Linked DNA regions of Schizosaccharomyces pombe. The gene in region 1 interacts genetically with each later gene. Each region holds a gene or a part of one and is shown on either strand. Other genes may lie near its edges.

Region 1 (6,598 bases):
ATCCTTTTTTCTTTTTTACTGCAGAAAACGAACATTAGTTAATTAGTGTTTGAATCGTTTTTAATCAACGTTTTGAACTATAAGATGCAATTTCTAAAAAATGTGTTTACTTTTGTTTCTAATCAACCATTTTTTTCAAAAGTAAAATTTTTTTTTTTGGATTTTGTATTTTCTAATGAACTATCGAAGTTACATGCTAGTAAATCTTAATTTATTTCAGTTTTGTTTGAAAAGTTTTTGTGTTTTCTTTGCTAACATGTTTTAGTTGGAACGTCGGCTTATGCCTTTCTATAAAGGATTGGACTCCTATAGCAAAGATTGGCCTGCTGACAAAGTCGTGGAAGTTGTCGAAAAAGCCCTTGGTCCTCATAAATCGGCACTCCTTCATTGCGCAATCCGTCAATCTCGCAGTCTTTCTGTTGGAAATACCAGATCCCTTAAGCGTGATTCTCGAGGCTCATCTGACCACCTCCTCACCCGGAATAGATCCAATTCTACTCCTGGTAGTATTTCCGCTGATTATCGCACTACAGCTATAACGACTATCTATGCTAATGCTATGGAATGTCCCATTTGTTTTTTGTATTATCCTAGTAATTTTAACTATACTCGCTGTTGTGCTCAACCCATCTGTTCTGAATGCTTTGTTGAAATTCGACGAGCAGAACCACATTTACCTACTGTACATGCTAACGAGCCTACTCCTAACGAGTTTGATCTGATTTCGGAACCTGCTAAATGCCCATATTGCATGACTGAGCGGTTTGGAGTCATATACAAGCCAAACCCCAAGTTAACCCCCTTTTCATTTAATAATAACCCAGATACTCTACCTAGTAATATAGCTCCGATGGGTACTTTGTCGAAGTCTTCTCTGCCTCTACATCACATTCCGTGGCCTCCTAATCAACATATTAAATTCGCGCATGATGATAAAAATGTTGTCAGCACTGATTTCATTCATCCGGACTGGCAATACAAGTTAGAGAGGGCCCGCCGTCGTGCCTTGCGAAGAGCTGCTAATGCTACTTTACTTAATTCCCATTTGCTGGAAACAGGTCCGGCAAATGCAAATGCAAATCATAATACTGATCTATCTCATGATCCCACGTCTCATGGTGGTCCGAGACGTACTTTATCCAGTCGTCGTCAACATTATCTTGCTAATGTTGAGCAACTTATGCTTGCAGAAGCTATTAGACAGAGTTTGTTGGATGCCCAATCCAACGACTCAACTAATTCACTTCCTTCAACTGAAGTATCACAACCAGATTCAACCAATATATCAAATGAGCAAGAAATTGTTCAACCACAACCCACTCACACTACAAACGTTGCTTTAGTTGAGGAAATAAATCGTCCAGATTCTGTTGAATCTGCTATTACTGCATCATCATCTATTGATACCGGTAACGAAAACGAGACACAAGAAGTGAATAGTGATTCTCTACCGCAGTTTGTTCACCAAACCATGACACAAACCAATTTTCAAGAGTCTTCGCCATCTGTTGCTGCTGACGAGACTCGGGTTCATAATGTTGATGAATATATCGAGCAGCAAGACCTAGATGAGCTTATCCATAGCCCCATTGCCTCGACGAACCCTTTTTTAGCTGACCAGTTCGCTCGCTCTGAAACGGTCGATTTGAATGCGCACATTTGCTCTCCGGCTCTCAGTGTCAGTGATGATGGTGTTACGGCTACAAACAAAACGCAAAGCTCATTTCCTTCTGTTTATGAGCATCAGCTTAAAAGCAATGAACTCGAAAGAGGTCATTAAGTGTTATGACTTATTAGTTTTAGTCAAAAGGCAGTTGAAGTTTTTGTTGTCGTTTACTTGTTTCTTTTTTTAATGCCCCTAATTTCTAAATTATTTGAGAAGTCATGAATTTTTAAATATATTTTTGGTTTAATGCTTGTCTTAGAAAAGATATTCAAAACCTTTTTTTTTTAAAAAAACTGATTGTTTTGGAAGTGAGCTTATATTTTTACAGAAAGTAGTTAGGCAATCAGAGGCGATGTGAATCTACTGTATGTGTGTAATTCTATTATTTTTGGTTGGTTTGTTTAAACCGAAATGGGTTTGGGTTCCGATTATTTAAATTATTGATGAAAGCTTTACTAGTTCTTGATGCATCATAATTATTTGGTTTAGTATTTGATTTAGCGTTATCAATTTTATTTGATTTTTATTATTGTTGCAGAATTATTTGGCGTTCTTCTTATTTTGCTCATTATGTAAACGTATTAGCAATTCATTTTTATCAATAGTATCCAACTGGAAACGACCAAGTCTCCCAATGCGATATTGTTGAATTACATAGTTAGAAACAAAATTCTCGTCGAAGCCACCCTTAGTTAGTTTACGAGCTTTGTAGGCAGTGTTTTGTAAAAATTCATCCACATCATTTGTCGGTAATGACCACTTGGAATAAAGACTAGGGTCAATTCTATTTAAATGAAAAAGCAAGTAGTCAACAACTGTCACAGGATGCACAATTCCTTCTTTGACACATCCTACTAAAGATAGCTTTAACATATCTTCCGGCTTAGTTATAGAAGGTGTCATAATTCCTAAAGCAGTTAGTAGATACTTTCGATAATATTAAAAGCCTTTCAAACTTGTAAAAAATTGAAAATTAAACTCAAACTCAATAGCATTTACCTGGAGTATCCAACATATAAACATCCATATCATTAAACAATCGGACAATTTCGCTTATTCGCTTTGTAACACCAGGATAATTCCCAACTATAGCAGATTTCGATTTCCGTAAAGCTACATTTCTTAAAGAGTTTAATATGCTACTTTTGCCAGTATTAGGCATACCTACAAAATAGACATAGACTCTCCCGTTAGCGGACGCTTGATCAACCAACGTCCGAATTAGTCTTAGGAGTTCCTTAGCAAAATAGGGGGCTTTGGAAACGTAAGGAGTGATAAAAGCAGATTTTTCTGGCGTTGAAGTTTCTTTGAACCAACATTCAACATTTTGAAATTGTTGTGCAAGATTCTGAATTCGGTGTTTTGATACTTTTGCCTTGGTATGAAATGTGTCAGCTAAATCACATTTGTTGTAGACAATTATCCTGTTCTTTTTATTAAGAAAGTCTTCCATAACGTAATTTCTTGATGTTAAAGGAATTCTCGCGTCTCTCACTTCAACAAATATATCATTTGAAGATGTTAAGTTTTTTAATCTCTTAAGAGTCTTATTCATATGACCAGGATACCAAGTTGAAGGCATCTGATATTCAAATGTTTGTCTTGCTACAAAGGCCATGGAATTATCGGTTTGCCGCTATAGCTGGTGAATGTTTTAGTTTTAAAAATCTTTAAGCTATCCAAAATTAATGGTTATAATCTCATAAGCTTTTTAGGTGAAATAAAAAAAGTTAAGTCATTTTGTTGAGACAAGTATTCTTAGGTGGTAGTGTTTAAAAAAGTTTCCCACTTCAACTCACATTAAAAATTAAGAACTTCTTTAATTCAGTCCCAGTAATTAAATATTTCATCAAAAAATGACTGAAGTAGAAAGTTCTACTGAAAATAATGTTATTGTGAATAAAAATAAGCGATATAGACGGGACAAGCCATGGGATACTGATGATATCGACCATTGGAAAATTGAACCCTTTACTAAAGATGATAGTAAAGAATCATTTTTAGAAGAATCAAGCTTCGCTACTTTGTTTCCAAAGTATAGAGAAAAATATTTGCGTGAAGTTTGGCCACATGTCACTAGAGCATTGGATAAGTTTGGCATTACATGTGTTCTCGATTTGGTTGAAGGAAGTATGACTGTAAAAACTACAAGAAAAACATTTGATCCATATTCCATTTTAGATGCTAGGGATTTAATTAAGTTGCTTGCGAGAAGCGTTCCATTTCCTCAGGCAGTCAAGATTATGCAGGACGGCGTTGCATGTGACATTATTAAAATAGGAAATATTCTTCGCAATAAAGAACGGTTTGTCAAACGTCGCCAACGGTTAATCGGTACTAACGGTCAAACTTTGAAGGCATTGGAATTATTAACACAATGCTACATTTTGGTGCAAGGAACAACTGTCGCCGTTATGGGAGGATACAAAGGTTTAAAAGAAGTTCGTCGAATCGTCGAAGATTGTATGCATAATATTCATCCCATTTATCATATTAAAGAATTGATGATAAAGCGAGAGTTGGCGAAAGATCCAACTCTGGCTAACGAATCCTGGGATAGATTTTTACCTCAATTTAAGAAGCGTAATGTTGCTCGTCGTAAACCTGCGAAAATCAGGGAGACTAAAGAGTACACTCCCTTTCCTCCTGCTCAACCTCCTAGTAAACTTGACCTTGAGATTGAAAGTGGTGAATATTTCTTGAAGAAGGAGGAAAAGGAAAGGAAAAAACGTGCGGAAAAAAAGGAACAACAGAAAGAAAAGAAGAAAGAGAAAGAGAAAGAAAGAATGAAGGCTTTTATTCCTCCTGAAGAGTCCTCTAAAAAGCGTAAAAGGGATTAGAACGAGTACCGGGTTTATATTGGATTGGTTTAGTATTGGAAAATAATATTTGTTTTTGCAGAATATATTTAGTTTGCTATCGTTCCTTCATGCTTCTTGGTATGCTTGGTTGCATTGTTGGAATGCGAGTAGTAACTTATTTACAAGAATTCTAATTTGTTCAAACTCCGTAGTTTTTAGGCTTTCAAGCTATATATAATAAACAACAAATACGTTACAGTACAATTGCAACTCAAGCTTATTCTTTTATTCTTATTACAGTAATTAAAATTAAAAGAACATTTATTGTTCATATATCAATTTGAGTGTTTTCGCTTTTTTTATTTTTTGAATAAGGGAAGCTCAACGCATAACAGTTTTTTATCTAACAGAAGTCGCCTTCCATATTTTTCGTCTTGATTCAGCACCTGGAGCTATGTGAACAAGTTGAATACCGCGACTTCCTTCATCAAAAGCTAATACAACACTTTCATCGCCTTTTCCTTCGATGTGATTTTGTTTTCGAAATGAAGCTCGCATCTTAACAATTTCATTTGCAAGTTTGTACCTGGCCATACTGCTAGCGCCCACTGTTAACTTGTCACTTTCAAGCAAATCCTTTATAACTTCAAAAGGAAGATTACAGAGTAAACGAGCGTATTCAGTATTCCAATTGCTTACGAGAGTATTATACATTACCTGAATAGCCTTGTTGAAAAGTCCAGAAGTGAATCTTGGATACATGCCCATCTTAAGACGCTCAAGACCTTCAAAGTTAGGGTCAAGAAATCTTATCACAGATTCCATAGTTTCTGGCCTAATCGACTTTTCTATGAGTGAGGATGCTTCGAAAGCCAACGTGTCTAACCCAAGAAGATCACTAACCGCTAAAACAGAACAAACATTCACCTCAGCAGGGATTCTTGGGGAATCGCAATACAATGTAGAAAGCACAAACAAACAGGATTCCTTAGTAACATAGGGATCCTCTGTCTCTACTTCTATGGTATAATGTACATCACCTTTGGGATTATTTTCAATAAGCTTTTGTAGAAGAACAGGTGATCTGCCAAGAAAAAGGGCATGCAAATGATATGTTTCACCTTTTATAATGAGAGTAGTGTCAGAGAAAGTTCCCTGTAAAAATCCTGCATTAAATACGAAACTTGAAATCTAGCTAGGGTTAGACAAACTCTTTGAAGGAGAGGTAAAATATTCAGACTTTTTTTGTTTGGAAATCGTTAAACAAAACATGAACGATTTAACAATAAATCCAAAATAATTAACTACGCAAACAACCATTAATTTGAGAGTAAAGTTCATACAAGAACTGAGACTCAAGGTACGCAGAAGTTCAAATAGCAAAAATACTTACTGAAGATACCGGTTTCATTATAGAGGGCTCTTGAGAAATTTCCGTTGAGCTGTTCATTGACATGATTGTATTAAAGCCACATCCGTTAGGAGTAATAAAAAGAAATCAGAATGAAACTCGTCAGTAATATTTAAAAAAAAGGTACTAAAATATTGTTTTGGTTTCCTAAGGAAAGCGCACTGGAGTAGCTCGATATTCTTGCAGTTATGAATCGTAACGTAATTGCGCTATCCAAAATATACCGTACAAGTTGCACAAATTAACCCTTCTATTTACTTAATTTTTTGCTAAATGAATTAGTAATGCAGCAATCTCATTTACTTCATAATGTCTTCAATTACTTACTGCTGATAGTTGATAGAGCACGAAAACAATGCCAGTTTGTTAATGTTAATTTATTACATATCGGTTGTATGCTGATGTTGCTGCATGCTGAATTTTAACACAGAGCGCATCCCTCTAAACTTCTCGACTATCATCAAGTCAGTCGTGAAGCTTTCAACTGAATAAACCTATGCAACATAATTTCAGCTTAAAAGCTATTAATTAGCTGATCTTAAGTAATACAAAGTAATATATCAAATCGTAACATCCAATTCTTCCCGTATGGTTTGTCTTATTTTTAATAATAATATCCTTATGATAAAACATCTACATGTGATATAAATTATGCAGAATAATAAGTGTAAATGGAACAGAAGCCATCAAATTACAGCAGCTCACTCAACTTTTATATCA
Region 2 (7,518 bases), 2.1 Mb from region 1:
CAATGACAAGTAAAGTACCATTCACTGATCCACTATAAAGGACTTTTTCAATATGATCATCATAGACGAGACCTTTCTGCTCTTTAAAACTTTCAATCTGGCTTTTCCTCTTTAGTTCAGCAACCCATTCAGCTGCGTTCATTTAGACTGTAAAGATGATTATTATTAACGCTCTTGCAAAAAATTTTAACATTTACACTCTACTTTCCTTAGTGTAAATGAAACAACCCCTAACAACGACAATTCATGCAGTCACGTCCAACAATGAATATCAAAATAGCTATACCATAATAAGAACAGTGAGCACTCAAACCAATATTCAATGGCTTCAGTGTTTTTCAAATCCGAAGAAGCAAGTGAAAGAGGATGTGCAGAGGTAATACTTGAAGACTACACATAATGAGCCCTATGAATTAACCCACATGTGAGTTCAACCTAAAGTTCATCAGATATACAATTACTGCTAACCGAATGCTAAAAAGAAAATATCTTTAGGTCAAACAATACCAACAACGTGCAATTGTTCTTTAAACTTTCCATTTACTGAATATACAGACTATTTTTACACTCTAACAATAACAGGATTTCTAAAAAAACATCTAATTTTATATCATCCACATGCCTAGAACAAAATTTTATTCAATAATCAAGACATGCAAGATATGAACAAGACCTTTTAGTTCTTTCTTCTGAAAGAGCATCCCTCCATAAGACGAGCCTTACCACCAGTAGGTTGGCAAAGGACAGAGGCACAAGAACCGCAAATAACAACGGTTTGAGCATGAGAGAAAACTGTGGTGATGTTGAAGCATCCAGGGCACTTGACATCCTAAAAAAATAGTTAGCAATGAGTCTTTGAGTTCAAACCATTCTAATTTTTCCCTATTGCCACCATGTTGCCACTTTCAACAAATTGAAAAATATTAACAGTTTATTCTCGAAAGTACAGAATTAGAATAAGGTTTCATTCTTTTAAACATTTGGCATTTGGAAAGCAAACTATTGTTGGAGAAAAATTTTCAAGAAAACTTACCATGAAGAAACTGCGAGGGCCTTGAACAAGCTGCTTCAGCTTGTGCTTGCGCATCTCGGATTCATGACTGGGATTTAAGAGATCAACTGCCAACTACTTTGTTAGTGTTTTTCTGATGATTTATAACATACCACCATCTTGTTAGTGAATTGCTCGGGGTAGAAGCTGAGATGTGTGTGCAGGGTTTCTTGTCTATCTTCAAAAAGCAGTCACACCAAAGCTTTTGTTGTTACTCGTAAATAGTGCAGCACTTTAAAGTAACGTTATGCCATTAAAATTACAAATGCAAGGAAAATATATTTTATTTAGGGAATGAAAGGTTGTAGATTAGCATGCCCTTGTACTCATTTGACACATTTTATATTAATTTAGTTTTTTTTAGCATTTCAGGCTTGTGCAACAATTCTATGCTTTACTCCCCTCTTTATATTCTTGGTGCTTCAGCACCGCCCAAATAAACATTTCAGCCAGAAAACACTTTAATTACCAGTAATCACACGCACAATCAGCTACAAATTAATTATGCGAATAACAATTCGCAATCCACAATCATATGAAAATAAATACACTGCTTTCATACCAAGTTACGCTTTTTTTACATGCTCAAATTGCAACTGTTTACAAATTCAATAGCTACTTACAATGCTCAACCTTACAAATTCAAAATATTTTATAATGCCAAAAGCATCACAAAATGATATTTCACACAAATCGGTTTTGATTCAGTATATGAATAGCCTCATGTTTAACGGTACTAAACTAGTTAATATGCTGTCGGAAACAGATGTTGCAAACTTAAAAGAAAGTTACAGCAAAATTCTCTTACCTTAACGAAACCAATGTCGTTGGCGTACTCACGGAAACTTTGACGAGAGATGTTCAAACCGTACTTGCGGATTAAACCGAGACGACGACCAGTGTGAGCGCTAAATTATGAATTAATACATCACTCGTGTATAAAAAAGATGCTTGCTTACCATTGTCTGCTGCCCTTTCCGTACTTGCGAGGGTGAGAGAACCAAACGTTTTCGTGGGCCATTTTGGTGTGAAGGTAGAGATTGTTTCAAGCGTTTCTTCTACTAGACGAAAGTCGTGACTGCTCTTCTAGGCATAGGGTAGGGCTAATATAGAGAAATACAATGCATTTCGTTATTTGACATTGTGCTCAACAATGTAAATAAAGTATGTATAGTACTATTTTTTAAGTAGAAATTGTTTTCATTAGACACTTAGTTAAAATATTTGTTCAATTGATGGAATAATCAGGATTTATTTTTTTCCTCTCCAGTACCAAGCCTTATATAACATTATATTGTAGCTGGTTTAATAGGCACTTAATGAAAGATGGATTTTCCTTCAGAAAGTAGTTATTGTGGTGTTTTCTACGTTTGATTTTTTTTTTTTTTTTTAGTTTCAAAACCTCTTGTATTTATTAAATTAGTGAGTACTTTTGAACGTTTTTACTCATTCACTTGGAAATCGGTGTACTCGAAAAACATAGCTCATTTCAAAAAATATACAAAAGTTTAACCTGTAAATAATAATAAATTATATTTCTTCAATTAACCAAACAAAAATTATATCCCTCTCATCAAAGGAACTCTAAATCTTTATCAAAATATCTATCATAAATCAACAAAGGAAACCATTAGATCATAAAAAAGTAAAAATATATGTATGTTGACATGTTCAATTGAACACATCTTTCTCCTTTTTTCTTCCTTTGCTTCTTTTTTTTAATATTACTGATGTAAATTCACACAGTACACAGCATCATCAAGTTCGACTGAATCGTTGTTCCCAATGCAATAAATCCCTGGTGAGATTGTCTACCATCCTAAGAGTTTCCTTCTCTTCTTCTGGGCCTTCTTTCGATGACTTTGTGGATGATTGATTACCAGCAGACTGAGCTGCCATTTCAACTTGAATATGTCCAATATACTCTAGCATAGAGGCAACTCTTCGCCGCATCTCAGTCATAGTGATTCTTGAGTGCAATCCCTTAGGCTTGGTTATGGTCTCTACGAACGTTCCATCCGGATGTAATTGAGGAATTCGGTGATTATCGTTCGAACTAGATTTTCCTCTTCTTCCTCCCACCTTTCTTGTTTTTGAAGGCTTCGGTGCGACAGCTGCTGGAAGATCCGCTTTGTCTTCTGCCGCTGCTTCACGTTTAGCTTTTCGCGTTGACCGAGTAGTGGTCGAAATAGAAGTAATGGTAGATTGTTGTGAGCTTTGAGGGGATGCTTCTCCAGACTCCTCTTTTACTGAGTGCTTTTCTTCATCAGCAATCTCCTCAACCGTATCTACAGTTTCTTCTTCAGGGGCATCCGTTTCAGCGACATTAGTAGTAGAGGTTTCTTTATTCTCTTCGTTTTCGTCCTTCGACTCCTTACTATCTTCTAAAATTTCATCATTCTCTTCTTCAATTTTTTGTTTTAAATTTATTTCGGTTCCTTGCGATTCATCTTGGGGAGCTGGTGGAGAAAGAGACTTCGATGAAGTTCGCCTAAAAACAGTTAGTATATCATCTATGAATATCAATGACCATACCCTCTAGATCTCCTCGGTATTAGTGACTTTTCCTTAGCAATTGCAAGATACTCTTCATAATCAAGAGCGGCGTCTCTGGAATTCATAGTAAGACGTTGCTTAGACGACTTTTTGGTTGCCGGAGATGGGGGAGTAGATGAAGATTCTTCTGTTTGACTGGCTTCTATAGGTTTTCCATTTCCAAGATACTTTGATTGTTTAGCCCTGCGGCGAAGTTAGTAACAATAGTTGAAAAACCCAATTTTTTTAATTGCTAGAAGAGAAAAAAGAATAAAATGGAGATATTTGGAAACCACTGCAATTAGTTTAAAGCATTAGGTATTCAGTGGTAAATCCATTTTAAATCCTTAAGCTCATCTGTTATCAACACTTACCCTCTGCCCCTTTGATATACTTTATGGAATTCTGGATGGCATATTTCGCAATAATATACCTCGGGAACTTCTGATTCATCAGCAAATCCCACACAGTTCCCATGTTGCCAAACTGAGCATTGATCGCACTGAATATACAGCCCCCCGTCACTAGCTTCATCGTCGGATTCGACAATTCCACAAACACAGCGGGTTACTTCTCCAGTACTCGATGTTTCATTCTCTTCATTATCGGAAACTGAGCCATTAGGCGTGTGGGGTGTGTCTACGGGAGATTTCTGAATTTTTTCAGACTCTTCCTCTTTTTCTTCATTAGCGGGAGTTGAATTACTCGGCATAATGTATAATAATCGTTTTATTAAAAAATTGTGCTGTGCGCTTGGGGAATGGTGAAGGATTGGAAGATAGGTAATACATTTACCAACTACAACATCAATGAAATATATCGCGAATTGCTGAAACTTCACGCTTTAAGTAATTAATGTATGGGAAATTTGTTTTTTTATATTCATTTAGTGATTGAATGTTTTTGGTCAAAGTCGTAATGGCACTTTGGTAATAGTTAAATAGTTGAATGGCAAAAACGTTGGATTCTAGGATTCAAGCCCAGAGGGAGACTGCCAATGCATTGAAATGATAGTTAATTAAAAAAAATTGATAAAAACCCAATTATCTTTGTAAACATAAACAGTTTAACACCTTTCATTTTTTTATAGGCCCATTTTGCCCGTTGATTTGCCCTTGACCATCGGAGAACCTGGTTTGTCTGGGAATGGTTATTTAAGTCTCCTAAAGCTTTAGCACTGTTGAATTAGATTAAGAAACTTATATGTTCATCTCAAACTTCATATAATTAAACGTATGGTTTGTTTGACCCACTTTTTATGCTATCTCTCTGTACTAATTATTATTGAAATGAGAATTGACTTGATTTGGGAATGCATATTATTATAAGCTGTATTATGAAGGTTGTGAAATCATTTCTGTAAGGTGCTGCTGCTTTTATAAATTAAAAGAGGTTTTGTAATATCGACATGATATTTGGTATTATCTCCATGTATTCGCATTTTACGATGTTCCTGCAATCTTTAGAATGGCGTATGTGCATATTTTGAAACTAAAAAACATCTTACATTTTAAAAAAGGCTTTTTCCTCGCAATGTCAGAAAAGCAACTGCTACTCGGTTCACCGGGAATTCATGAACAAAACAATGAAATTTGATTGTATTTTTCTTCGATACTATATTCAACTGACTAGATACTTATGAAATAAAATAAAAAACTATTTATATCCTTGTGATCAACGTTTGACAGTGAGAAATTGTTATAATTCTAAATTTTCTCTTTTTATTGAAATTTATTCGATGAAAAAATCAATTGTATGCTCTTCCACCACTTCGAATGCTCTATTGATATAAATATATGTCTATGAAAAATTCGTTTTATTTCTACAGAATTTACAAAATTCTCTAATTTACTGCTAATACTGTGTTCAAGTTGGTAAAATATTCGTGTGCCACAAATATCTATTTTGGTATAAATTTCTCATGTCACTCATTAATTGAGATGATAGTGATAAATATTAACAATTTTTTTAGTAATAGTAAGAAAAGAAATAATATTTCATTGCTTTTATATCTGCTGGCAAACCAGAGTAGAGCGATATCGCATCTGTATATCGTAATTTCATCTCTTTTAACAACCAAGAACGAGCATTCCACTCGTACAGCTGGGAAGGTGCTTTAATACATCGTGTACTATAATTTTTCCTATTATTTATCGGGCTTCTGAATAGATTCTACAATTTAATTTATCGAGCTGGTCTCTTTTTGTCTGCTGATTTCTATTCTACGATTTCTCAGGCGTTTTTTATTCCACGTTCTATTATTTGTTTAGAACCATTTTTTTTATATTGCATAGTTCTTATTTTCTTTTAAAATAACTTTCTTGAACGATTCTTCCAAAAAATCGATCAGTTTGCATACTCATACGCTTAGTACTTAATTGTAATTCGTAAAGTTGGTTCCTAAAAACACCAATTTTATAGCTTCCTAGATTTTTTCTCTATTCCTAGTTTGGGTTAATTTATGTCTGGGTATAGTCCTTTGTCTTCTGGACCAGCAGACGTCCATATTGGAAAAGCTGGGTTCTTTTCTTCGGTTATCAACCTTGCCAATACTATTTTGGGAGCTGGAATTCTTTCCTTACCAAATGCGTTTACCAAGACTGGTCTGTTGTTTGGGTGTTTGACCATCGTCTTTAGTGCATTCGCTTCTTTTTTAGGATTATATTTTGTTTCCCAATGCGCCGCACGACTCCCGAGGGGAAAGGCTTCATTTGCTGCTGTTGCCAAGCACACCTTTCCCTCTTTGGCTGTTGTCTTTGACGCTTCTATTGCTGTTAAATGCTTCGGTGTAGCGGTAAGCTATTTGGTTATTGTAGGCGATTTAATGCCCCAAATTGCTCCATCACTTGGTCTCTCTTCTCCAATGTTCCTTAGGCGCCAAACATGGATTGTCTTTGCGCTTTTCGTGCTTACTCCACTCTCGTTTCTTAAGAGGTTGGATTCTTTACGGCATACGTCTGTGATCAGCCTTATAGCTCTTTGTTACCTTGTGTTTATTGTTTTGTATCATTTTATCATCGGGGATACTGTAAAAGGAGAAATCCGCTACTTTGTTCCTGAGTCTGGCTTTGGCTATTTATCTGTTTTGCCCGTTTTCGTTTTCGGTTTCACTTGCCATCAAAATGCTTTCAGTGTAATAAATGAGGTCAGAAATTTCTCTCAAGGGTTCGTCAATTTTACTATGTTTACTGCTATTATTTCTTCTACGCTTTTGTACTTGCTTGTGGCTATTACGGGATATCTTTCATTTGGATCTCTGGCATCAGGTAATATTATCGCAATGTACGATAATACCAGTATTTGGATTATTGGTGGAAAGCTCGCTATTGTTGTACTAGTCCTTTTTAGTTATCCCCTTCAATGCCATCCATGCAGAAACTCTGTTTACCAAGCTATACGTCGCTCTTATTCTGCTCATGATATGAGTGATGGTTATCATGCCGTAATAACATTATGCATATTGTTATTTACTCACTCTCTGGCTCTTTTGCTGTCTTCTCTTGAAATGGTCTTAGCTTTTGTTGGAAGTACCGGTAGTACTTTTATTTCATTTATTCTTCCTGGATCTTTGTATTATTTTTTCTCTCATAAAGTTGCCTCCCCAGGTAATAGCAGCCCTCTACAGTTACGAATTTCCAGGGCCTTCGCTGCTGGACTGGCTATTTATGGCACAGTTGTTATGATTTTGTGCTTAAATATTAATATTGCAAAGTTATCTCATTAATTTTACTTTGGCAATCTTTTTCCAATTTATTTATTTATTTCTTAATTATGCGTTTAGCACTTCGCTCGAAAATATTATTCAAATTCCATTAAATACTAAACGCTATTTCTCTTTAATTTTTTTTTTCTTTTTCTTGTTCATAATTACTTGTTCGTTATGTCTTAACCATTAGGAAACATTCTCGGATTTTGCTTTTACTTCCTTGGTG
Region 3 (9,547 bases), 1.6 Mb from region 1:
ATGTCCAGCTAAAAAATATATTACACGAATCAGTATAAAAAGAATTCCTTTCTTTTATTCTATTTATTTGTAATTGAAAACGAATTAGCTTCCGTTGTCATTTTACCAATTGTTAGTACCTAGAATACATATGGTTTGGTTATATATGTGTATGTATATATTATTTACTACAATAGTACAATGTCAGTTTTAAGACAATATTGAGTTATGTTAAAGGAAAGCAACATTAAAAGATTAAACGAGAACCAGCAAAGTAGGCTAGTGCCAGCAAATTTGCAATCGAAATAATTAAAGAATTTGATTTAAGCACCCGCTCAAAGACGCTATACAGCGTTTCTCAAATTAATATTAAAAAAAGATGAACCATTTATCCCGTACTCTGAAAACCAAATCATCAAATGATTGATATTGTGAAAGCATATCTACCGCATAGTAGAACAACACTTATTTAAGTTAAGAAAGTGAGTGACTCTAACAATAGTTGAAGCTTCGAAACTAAGAAAAGCAACGACAGCATATCATATCAAAAAATCCTCCTTTTGCTTCCGAATCAGAATTATCGTTAGGATGATTTACTCCGACTGCATTATTCGAGGGCTGAGATACATACATAGGTCGAACCCTATCGTAACCTCTAGAAGAATGAGCATAAATTGTTTTTTTAGAAGCAGACTGTTCTTGACGCACCAATGGAGCGTTTTTGCTCGGCAACGCATCGAACGATGAGTAATTTCTAGGACCTCTCACCCCATATGAGGATTTAAATCGCATGTTCTGTGTTTGCAAAGTACTGTTCTTTTTTCTGGAATCATCATTTTGAACAACATTTAAGCCAAGGTAATTCTTTCGTCGCTTCATAGCAACAACAGAAAAATGAGAAGAGCTTGACTCCCAACCTTTACCGTCATTCAATAACATCCAATCATAAACCCCATCATTCGTATCACCATTTGCTCGAAGTACATCATCAAATAACTCTTGTAAAAACGCATAATCCGGTTCTTCATCAAATTCTAACGAACGCACATAAGTCATGTATTTACTGAATTCATTAGGAAATCCAGCACAAAGCTCACTAATGGAGGTAGATTGCTTCTTTTCACTAATCTTTTCGTATTTGTGCTTATTGTTGGCAGCTTTCAATCCTTGCCAAGGTAAACTTCCCCTCAAAAAATACATAAAGACGTGTCCCAACGATTCTAAGTCATCGCGACGGGATTGTTCACGTCCAAGATGCGTGTTTATACTCATATATCTCGCAGTCCCCGAGAGGCTTTTACGTTCACTATATGGTATATGTTGCTTGGTTTTGGGATCACGGTAATATTTGGCCATACCAAAATCAACCATATATACCATGTTTGCATTTCGAGAGGAAGGTCGGCCTATTAGGAAATTATCGGGTTTGATGTCTCTATAAACAAGGTTTTTTTCATGAATCGTCTGAACTCTGGAAAGCTTTGAAATGTCAGAGAAAATTTAAACAAATTGAAAACCTTATAGGAACAACTTAGGAAACTTACCATCTGTTTCGCCGTCATAGCCACCGTTTTGACACTGAATCGACGACCGCACCATTCAAATAGGTCCTCTAAACTAGGTCCCAGTAAATCAATAACAAGGATATTATGTAGTCCTTCCTGCCCGAAATAGTAAACATTAGGAATGCCAGCTATTTGCAAATACGGTTAGTACCAAAGTCTTGACCATATGTTTTGGGTAGCAAAATAAAAACATACCATTTCCAACTAGTAATTTATAAGTTCTGTATTCATCACGGAGCTGAGGTGCCTCCGACTTTTTGGGTTCCTAACGTCCATTGTTAGTATTGTCCATATACTCATCCTAACAAAGAACATACAAATTTTATAGCAATAAGTTGGTTATTCAAAAGATTCATCCCATCGAAAATAACACCAAACGATCCCTCACCTATTTTACGACCCACGCGATAGTGAACCCCTACTACGCTCGTTTGGGAATTCATGATAAATAACCCTGTCACAAGGAATTGACCGAACAGATAAAATTTTTTTTATTGCAAGGACTATGCAGTTTTTATGTAGTCAATTTGTAGCCTCACTAACAAATGCCACACAAATCTCAGTTTGTTTTCACTGCATTCACCACAGAGATTGAAGTCCAATTGCGATTCAGTAGCCGACCAAAAACAACAAAATTTAGAAAACCAATTACTATAATTTAATAGAAGTTACAGGCTTTCTTTCGACTAACAAATGATTATGTGGTTTGAGTGTTTTAGTGGACGTTAGTTGTAAGGTGTACTTGGATGCAACACACTAGGCCTTAGCTTAATTTCCAACGTAAGGGTGAGGCTATCCAGGACAGGGAAAAAGCCCCGAAGGCGCAATCATCATAATAAATCAAGAATCTATAATAAAAAAATTTAATTATTTTAAGCCGTAAATATTCTAACCAGTGATTATCTAGCATCTACCATCGTAAAAACGGAGTTGTCGGAGCTGAGGCTATACGATAGATTATACAAACATAAGTAGTACTAGGTTTAAACAGGTGTTTATCGATTACTGAGGAAATGTAAAGTAATATATAGCAAAATTTCATTTCATTGTTTTGTTGCTACGTCCAGAAGTTTCGGAATCAGAATGTATAACTCTCTATCTTTACATAGTACTGAGAAAATTTGCTTTTCACGAAAAAGCTCCATTTGATAATCTTCCACTTGCGACTCAGAAAGTGAAGAATATACACTTTGCAAAAAATTTTTTTCCGATTTCAAGTAATGTTTACTTTCGTCGTGAATATTGTGTTCCATATGTTGTAACCATATTAAAAAGTCTGATTCTAACATAATTTCCTTTACCATTGGAAAAAATGAAGATTCTAAATCTTCATGCGCATCGATGATTTCTGCCCAGTTCACCTGTAATAGAAAACGGCGATATACGAGATCTTTTAAGTAAAAATACACGTCCTTAGTGATTGTAGCTCTTTCTAATAACTCTAAGGCCAAATCAACTTCTTTGAATGAACATTCCCGTAATGAAAAAGAAGAAAAGAAATCTACCATCTCACAAAGCGTAGTGTATTCGTTTTGAATTAATCGCTCAACAGCACTAGACACGAGCCAGGCTCTGATAGAGTTTTCTGATAGATTTACACAATTGGAAGTTACTATTGCTTCGACAGCTTCTCCCTCGTCTTCTGTAATATCCACAAGTGATGAAAGCATTTCAGCATATTGCTCTTGAATAAGCAAAATGGCTAAATGATTTTCAATCACCTCAGTCTCATTTGACAATATGATATTTTCACCTTCAATTCTATTAGTCCATGAGTAGAGCTTTGCTAGAGCTAACTGCGAAATTTTACCGATAATCCTGTTTTCTTCTGGTTCACAATCACGGAAAAGAATTTCGGAGGCTCGTCCATAATTTCCATTTTGAGCTTCAAATATCCACAAAAGATTCAATAAATCATTGGCTTCAAAAAAAGATATTAAAAGTGATTGATACTCCAAGAAATCATGAAGCAAAGACGCATACTGCTCTGTATCAACCAAATAAAAAAAAATTACATCTGCGAATTCTTCTTTGTATTTATTTAAGCATGCTTTTTGCTTTTGAAGCTTAATGGTAGGATCCTTTGGATCTAGACAATCCAGCAAAATTACCATTGTCTGAAAGTCTTTAACTTTTTCCGCCAAGTCGATTGCCTTTTCCAAATATCCGACAGAAGCTTCTTTGTTAGCGGAAACAAGAAAGTGAGAAACAGCTTACCTAAATATTGTAACCATTCTTTTCGTGAATTGCCAAATTCTTCTTCAAATTTTTGAAAATTATGCGATTTTACTATGGTATCATCTGTTCCATTGTGCAAATCAAAGATCAAAAGGCAATTTTGTTCCACCAGATGCAAAATCTGCTTCCGAAGCTTGTTACTGACTTTTAATATGTGTGCATCTTTCGAGTCACGTACATCGCGATGCAATGATATCGAATCTTCGATCTGTTTTCGTAGTAAATCTAAGTGATCAACTTCAACTGTCCAAAGGTCGCTTCTAATCACAGAGGATGGATCAGTAAATTTTGATATTTTTTCTTGCCTATAAGCAAGCTCATTTCCAAAGATAGTCTAATATTAGTAAACCTCGTTATTTTATAAGAAACATACCCCATAAACGTTATTAACATTTACTATTACTTCAATTCTTTTTTGTGCGTTGCTAGCATCTTGGCCAGATATTTGAGAATATTCCGAGCTTAAATGCTGTAATAACAAATTTATATTCAGGCACTTTTTCAAAAAAAGTTCATCAATATTATCATTTGAAGACATTATTTTCAATACTCGTCGAAGCAAGTTAGACATTTTTTCATTACACATCAATAATTCATATAGGTCTGCCAAAGCACTGCAATAGGCAACTTTTAGCCATAATTGAAGTCTATTAGAAGGAGATAAATGTAGGTATTTGAAGGCAACAAGAACTATTTCCATCAAGTCACGTTGCTGAGAATGTAGTGTTTCTAATACAGACATATTTTTTTTACATGGCGCTGATTGCAATTAGTAATATATCATGAAAAAATTATCTTACTCGTATAAAGTTCATCACAAAGATTAAAGACTGTATTATAGACTTCGCTTTCAGAGAGGTTGTATGTAAAGTCAAAATTTAACAAAAATTGTTCCTATATGTTAGATACGAAAGAATTAACAACTTACACGGAACAAAGGGCTTTGCGATGCAAACTGGGAGAGACGACTTCGTAAATAGGTGGTTGCACTAAAGCTGGTTTTCAGGTAGCTAGCAGAAGATTCAATTCGGATTATACCATGCCCTTCTGTTAACAAGATCAATGCTGGAGTTTTTAGTAAGGTGTGCGTAGATTTTTCATATATCGCATCTTCCATGCCAAAATCCAAAACCCGAGATTTGGAAGTTAGGTTGTTCACAACCAGGTTTTCTTCGACATAAAAAGTGCCTTCTTTCCCTCGCACTTTATGAAACATAGCAAAAGTGACATCGAAGACGCAAAAAACAACTGTACCTGGACTTGGTAAAAATATTCGACACACTGATGGAAGAATTGCAGAAAGATATGAGCGTACATGGCAGAATTGTGAAACATGAGGTATCATCTGATGGTTGAAAGAAATAATGATTGCAGCATAATTGAATAATGAAGCATTATCACGCCAGGAAACCAAACAAGCTAACGTATAAGGATCCGAGGTTGAAACAGAAAAATCAAGGATTAGAAATCGATTTACGTAGGAAAAGGATTCCTGAATACTATCTAAAATTATATCATAAATGTCAAAACCACGTAACAAGTGGTGATCACCAGTCCCGAATATTTCCCAAATTCGCAATGTGCTTCCAGAATGCATAGAATAAACTAATCTCTCACCAGGTCCTTTTATTGAACCACAACGTATTGGAATAACTCTTCCTGAAGTAAATGCAAAGATACTGTTGTATAACGACAGCAAGCAGTTGGGGATGTGCAATCCAGGAAATAGGATTCGAACCTGAATAGAGGAATTGCCATCGCTATCTTTTAAATTCAGATGAAGCAACCGACCTGAACTCAGAGTAAGGAAAAAGCCAGCAGGCTCAGCACTAACCAAATTTTTACAGCTTTCATATCGTTTTAGTTGAATCCTGTAATGAAGAAAACCAGGAAATTCGGGAGCAGAAACCTCAACGTTCATCAAAGAAGTTCTTTCCCAGTAGAAAAGGTCGCCCGAAGCAGGCCACAAAAGTAAAAAGCCAGGCTCTGCTGATGTTGGATCTGGCTTAACAAATCCAGCTAACGGTGGGCTATTTAGACTCTGCTGATCTAGAATACCCGTAAAACGTTCCCAATCAAAGCATATTAAGTTTTGGGGCTGACTTCCATAACCAGCAATCCATGCCTTTCGAACTTTGACACTAATATACAAATAATATTCCAAAATAGAGTCAATTAGTCCAACAACTGGCGCATCATGGATTGTAAAATTGCCAACCTTAGGAGCAGATATTTGGAGTATTTTGTACAAGTCATTTGATGCACAGACTTTCGGGTATTCTGAAGTAGCTAATGTCTCATGTTTGTTTCCGTCGGCAACTTTTTCATGTTTTCCTGCAGGCGTAAAAGCTTTTTCATTTTGAAAAAACCGTCGATGTACAATAAACATTGCAATTCCTCTAATAAGAGGCTCACTAATGTTTAAAAAAGCGAAAGTATCTAAGATCTCTTACGTGTTAAACAGATTATGCTCAAAGATAATTCTGACGATTTTCTAAGCTGAATCGATAGGAAACTTATAATTTAGGATCAAGAAAAATTTATTTGACGTTTTCCAGCATTTACTAATGTTTAAAAAATTAAGGAGACATGGATAAATAGATAAATTGTATTCCTACATCATCTGAACTTTTTAAAGAATAATAACACGACTTCAAAGGGTATAGTATTATGCATCGGTATATTTAATCTCCGGGGTACAGTACTTATCGTTAACAAATCTGATCTTTTTTGTGGTGGTGAACAACCAATGTTTTTAGGCAAAAATGAACCTGCTCACTTCTCATACCGCTCAGCATACCGATCTTTTGCAACTTGAAAGATAGCTCTTTCTAGAAAGGAATTGAGGGTTAAAAGTTATTTATAATGACTGTGCTGGCTCCCCTTAGAAGATTGCATACGAGGGCGGCTTTCTCGTCTTATGGACGAGAAATTGCCCTTCAAAAGAGATTTTTAAATTTAAATAGTTGCTCAGCTGTGCGGAGGTATGGCACCGGCTTTAGTAATAATTTGAGAATTAAAAAATTAAAAAATGCATTCGGTGTCGTTCGGGCAAATTCGACCAAAAGCACCTCTACAGTGACTACGGCTAGTCCTATAAAATATGACAGCTCGTTTGTTGGAAAGACTGGGGGTGAAATTTTCCATGATATGATGCTCAAGCATAATGTTAAGCATGTATTTGGTTATCCAGGTGGTGCTATCTTGCCTGTCTTCGATGCAATTTATAGATCTCCTCATTTTGAATTTATCTTGCCAAGACACGAGCAAGCTGCTGGACATGCAGCCCAAGCTTATTCCCGCGTTACTAAAAAACCCGGCGTTGTATTGGTTACTTCTGGACCCGGTGCTACGAATGTGATTACCCCGATTGCTGATGCATTGGCCGACGGTACTCCCCTAGTTGTATTCTCTGGTCAAGTAGCAACCAGCGCAATTGGTAGTGATGCATTTCAAGAAGCTGACATGGTTGGTATTTCTCGTTCATGTACTAAATGGAATGTAATGGTCAAAGATGTTGCTGATCTTCCCCGTCGTATAGACGAAGCTTTTGAGATAGCTACTTCTGGACGCCCTGGCCCTGTATTGGTTGACCTTCCCAAAGATGTCACTGCTAGCGTTTTGAAGGAGCCCATTCCTATACTGTCTTCTGTACCATCAATGAATCGCAGAATGAAGGAAGTCTTAGAAGAGGGCTCCAAGAACGTTACTGCCAAGATCGATCGTGTTGCCAATTTACTAAAATTAGCCAAGAAGCCTGTGATTTTCTGTGGGCATGGTGTTTTAGCTAATCCCGAATGCCCCACTTTGTTACGCAAGTTTAGCGAAAGGCTGCAAATTCCTGTTACTACTTCTTTGCTTGGACTTGGTGCTGTAGATGAACGTTCTGACCTTAGTTTGCATATGCTCGGTATGCATGGTAGTGGATACGCTAATATGGCCATGCAGGAAGCCGATCTTATCCTTGCTCTTGGTGTTCGCTTTGACGACCGTGTCACCGGTAACGTAAGTTTGTTTGCTCCTCAAGCACGTCTTGCTGCTGCCGAAGAGCGTGGCGGTATTATTCACTTTGATATTTCACCCAAAAATATCGGTAAGGTCGTACAACCTACTGAAGCAATAGAGGGCGATGTATACGAATCTCTAAAGCTTTTAGATTCTGCTACTAAAAATATTAAAATTCCTTCCCGATTTGACTGGTTATCTCAAATTCAAACATGGAAGGAACGCTTCCCTTTCACTTTCACTCGTAGCGCTCCTGGTGAATTGGTAAAGCCTCAAGAAGTCATTCAAGAACTTGACAAACAAACTTCTGACATAAAGGACAAAGTCACTATTACCACCGGTGTCGGTGCACATCAAATGTGGGCCGCTACATTCTATCGTTGGACAAAACCTAGTTCTTTGGTAACCTCCGGTGGTCTCGGTACTATGGGATTTGGTCTCCCAGCTGCCATAGGTGCTAGCGTTGCTGCACCTAAAGATATTGTTATAGATATTGATGGTGATGCTTCATTTTCAATGACTGGTATGGAACTTGCTACCGTCCGTCAATTTGATATCCCAGTTAAAATTCTTATCCTAAATAATGAAGAGCAAGGCATGGTCACTCAATGGCAAAACTTGTTTTATGAGAAACGCTATTCTCATACTCATCAAAAGAATCCCAACTTCGTTAAGTTGGCTGACGCTATGGGCATCAAAGCACTACGTGTAGAAAAGAGAGAAGATTTGGCTAAAAAAATGAAGGAGTTTTTGTCAACTAAAGGTCCTGTGCTTATGGAAGTTTTGGTTGCCCAAAAGGAACATGTGTATCCATTTGTCCCTGGTGGTAAGGCTCTTCACCAATTTATTTTGCATGAAAGCCTTTCATAAATTTTTTTGATTAATTTAAAAACAGCTATTTTGTAAGAGTCAGATGTAACACTTATTTAAACTTGCGTTAATTATCGTGTCACATTCTTTTAGACTCTGGTGGGCGGTTTGTCATTATTTACCCTAAAGCAAATTTGTTTGTTTTGCCTTGTTATCTTCGATTTTGGTTGTTTTTTTTTGTTTTGCTTTCTAACTATGGTTTACTCCGTTATCATAGCTTGTATTTAATTTTGATGATGGAGGTCAATAACATTACAAATTTTGCGAACATAGCAAATGAGAGTGTATAAAATTAATGTACATATATTTTAGATTTTGCCAATAAATTTTAGTAAGATAGTATTATCAATGAGTGCAATGCAATGTGAGCAGAGCGATACACCATGCGATGAATAATACCAGCACATGAATTACCATTTTCGTTTACGATTTTTTTTTGAAGTTTTGGTAAATTTTCTTCCATCTGAAGAATGAAAGGATAAATTGCCATTCTCCTCAGAAGGTGGGCTATGTTTTCTTTTAAAGCTTTTTGGCTTAGATCCCAGCCTAGATGCTAGAGAATTTCCTGGTTTGTGAAAAGGCCGTTGTTTCGACGATTTTTGATTTCGATTCTGCTCTCGCCTCTCCAATTGAAACTCTTTACGACGGGTTTCAAAAAACTCCTTGTTAGATGCATCATTTCCAGAAGGACAGTTCGCTTCACAAAATGCAGTGCTTTCAGGATAATTTGATCTAGATGGAAGAGTACAGTCGTCTCCAAAATGTTCATCAGATGCACAATTATAACAAAACTTTCGAACCTCAGAAACATCAATGCGAACAGGATGTTCTTTTTCGACATAATACCTCCAAATTAAAGGACACGTCGAACTAGTATGAGTATCGGTATG

The links. A genetic interaction does not mean that the proteins touch.
Region 2: mutations in mtg1 (region 1) and cti6 together harm fitness more than expected from each alone (negative genetic interaction), as found in Schizosaccharomyces pombe (one large-scale study listed by BioGRID).
Region 3: mutations in mtg1 (region 1) and nup131 together harm fitness more than expected from each alone (negative genetic interaction), as found in Schizosaccharomyces pombe (one large-scale study listed by BioGRID).

What each region holds. Positions count from the first base shown.
Region 1 is NC_003423.3:2,602,448-2,609,045, forward strand, and holds mtg1 (GTPase Mtg1), read right to left. Parts: upstream 3,285-6,598; coding exon 2,666-3,284; exon of another isoform or gene 2,657-2,665; intron 2,575-2,656; coding exon 2,207-2,574; 3' UTR 2,140-2,206; downstream 1-2,139. Other genes in the region: SPOM_SPBC25B2.03 (zf-C3HC4 type zinc finger), read left to right, coding at 266-1,780; rRNA-processing protein Mis3, read left to right, coding at 3,523-4,506; BTB/POZ family ubiquitin-type ligase substrate adaptor Btb2, read right to left, coding at 4,867-5,658, 5,861-5,923; mitochondrial microtubule binder Mmb1, read right to left, coding at 6,591-6,598. UniProt on the Schizosaccharomyces pombe protein: Mitochondrial GTPase involved in assembly of the large ribosomal subunit. Plays a role in expression of the mitochondrial translational machinery.
Region 2 is NC_003423.3:510,996-518,513, reverse strand, and holds cti6 (Rpd3L histone deacetylase complex PHD finger subunit Cti6), read right to left. Parts: upstream 4,360-7,518; 5' UTR 4,299-4,359; coding exon 3,961-4,298; intron 3,791-3,960; coding exon 3,587-3,790; intron 3,543-3,586; coding exon 2,810-3,542; 3' UTR 2,561-2,809; downstream 1-2,560. Other genes in the region: RecA family ATPase Rlp1, read right to left, coding at 1-142; rps27 (40S ribosomal protein eS27), read right to left, coding at 677-829, 1,034-1,126, 1,165-1,170; rps29 (40S ribosomal protein uS14), read right to left, coding at 1,779-1,787, 1,860-1,959, 2,011-2,072; vacuolar amino acid transmembrane transporter Avt5, read left to right, coding at 6,048-7,310. UniProt on the Schizosaccharomyces pombe protein: Could be a component of the RPD3C(L) histone deacetylase complex (HDAC).
Region 3 is NC_003423.3:970,462-980,008, forward strand, and holds nup131 (nucleoporin, WD repeat Nup131), read right to left. Parts: upstream 6,386-9,547; 5' UTR 6,172-6,385; coding exon 4,711-6,171; intron 4,677-4,710; coding exon 4,583-4,676; intron 4,542-4,582; coding exon 4,156-4,541; exon of another isoform or gene 4,117-4,155; coding exon 3,762-4,116; exon of another isoform or gene 3,721-3,761; coding exon 2,588-3,720; 3' UTR 2,561-2,587; downstream 1-2,560. Other genes in the region: serine/threonine protein kinase (CK1 family) Cki2, read right to left, coding at 496-1,458, 1,524-1,672, 1,740-1,809, 1,862-1,987; ilv1 (acetolactate synthase catalytic subunit), read left to right, coding at 6,648-8,657; TRAMP complex zinc knuckle subunit Air1, read right to left, coding at 9,068-9,547. UniProt on the Schizosaccharomyces pombe protein: Functions as a component of the nuclear pore complex (NPC).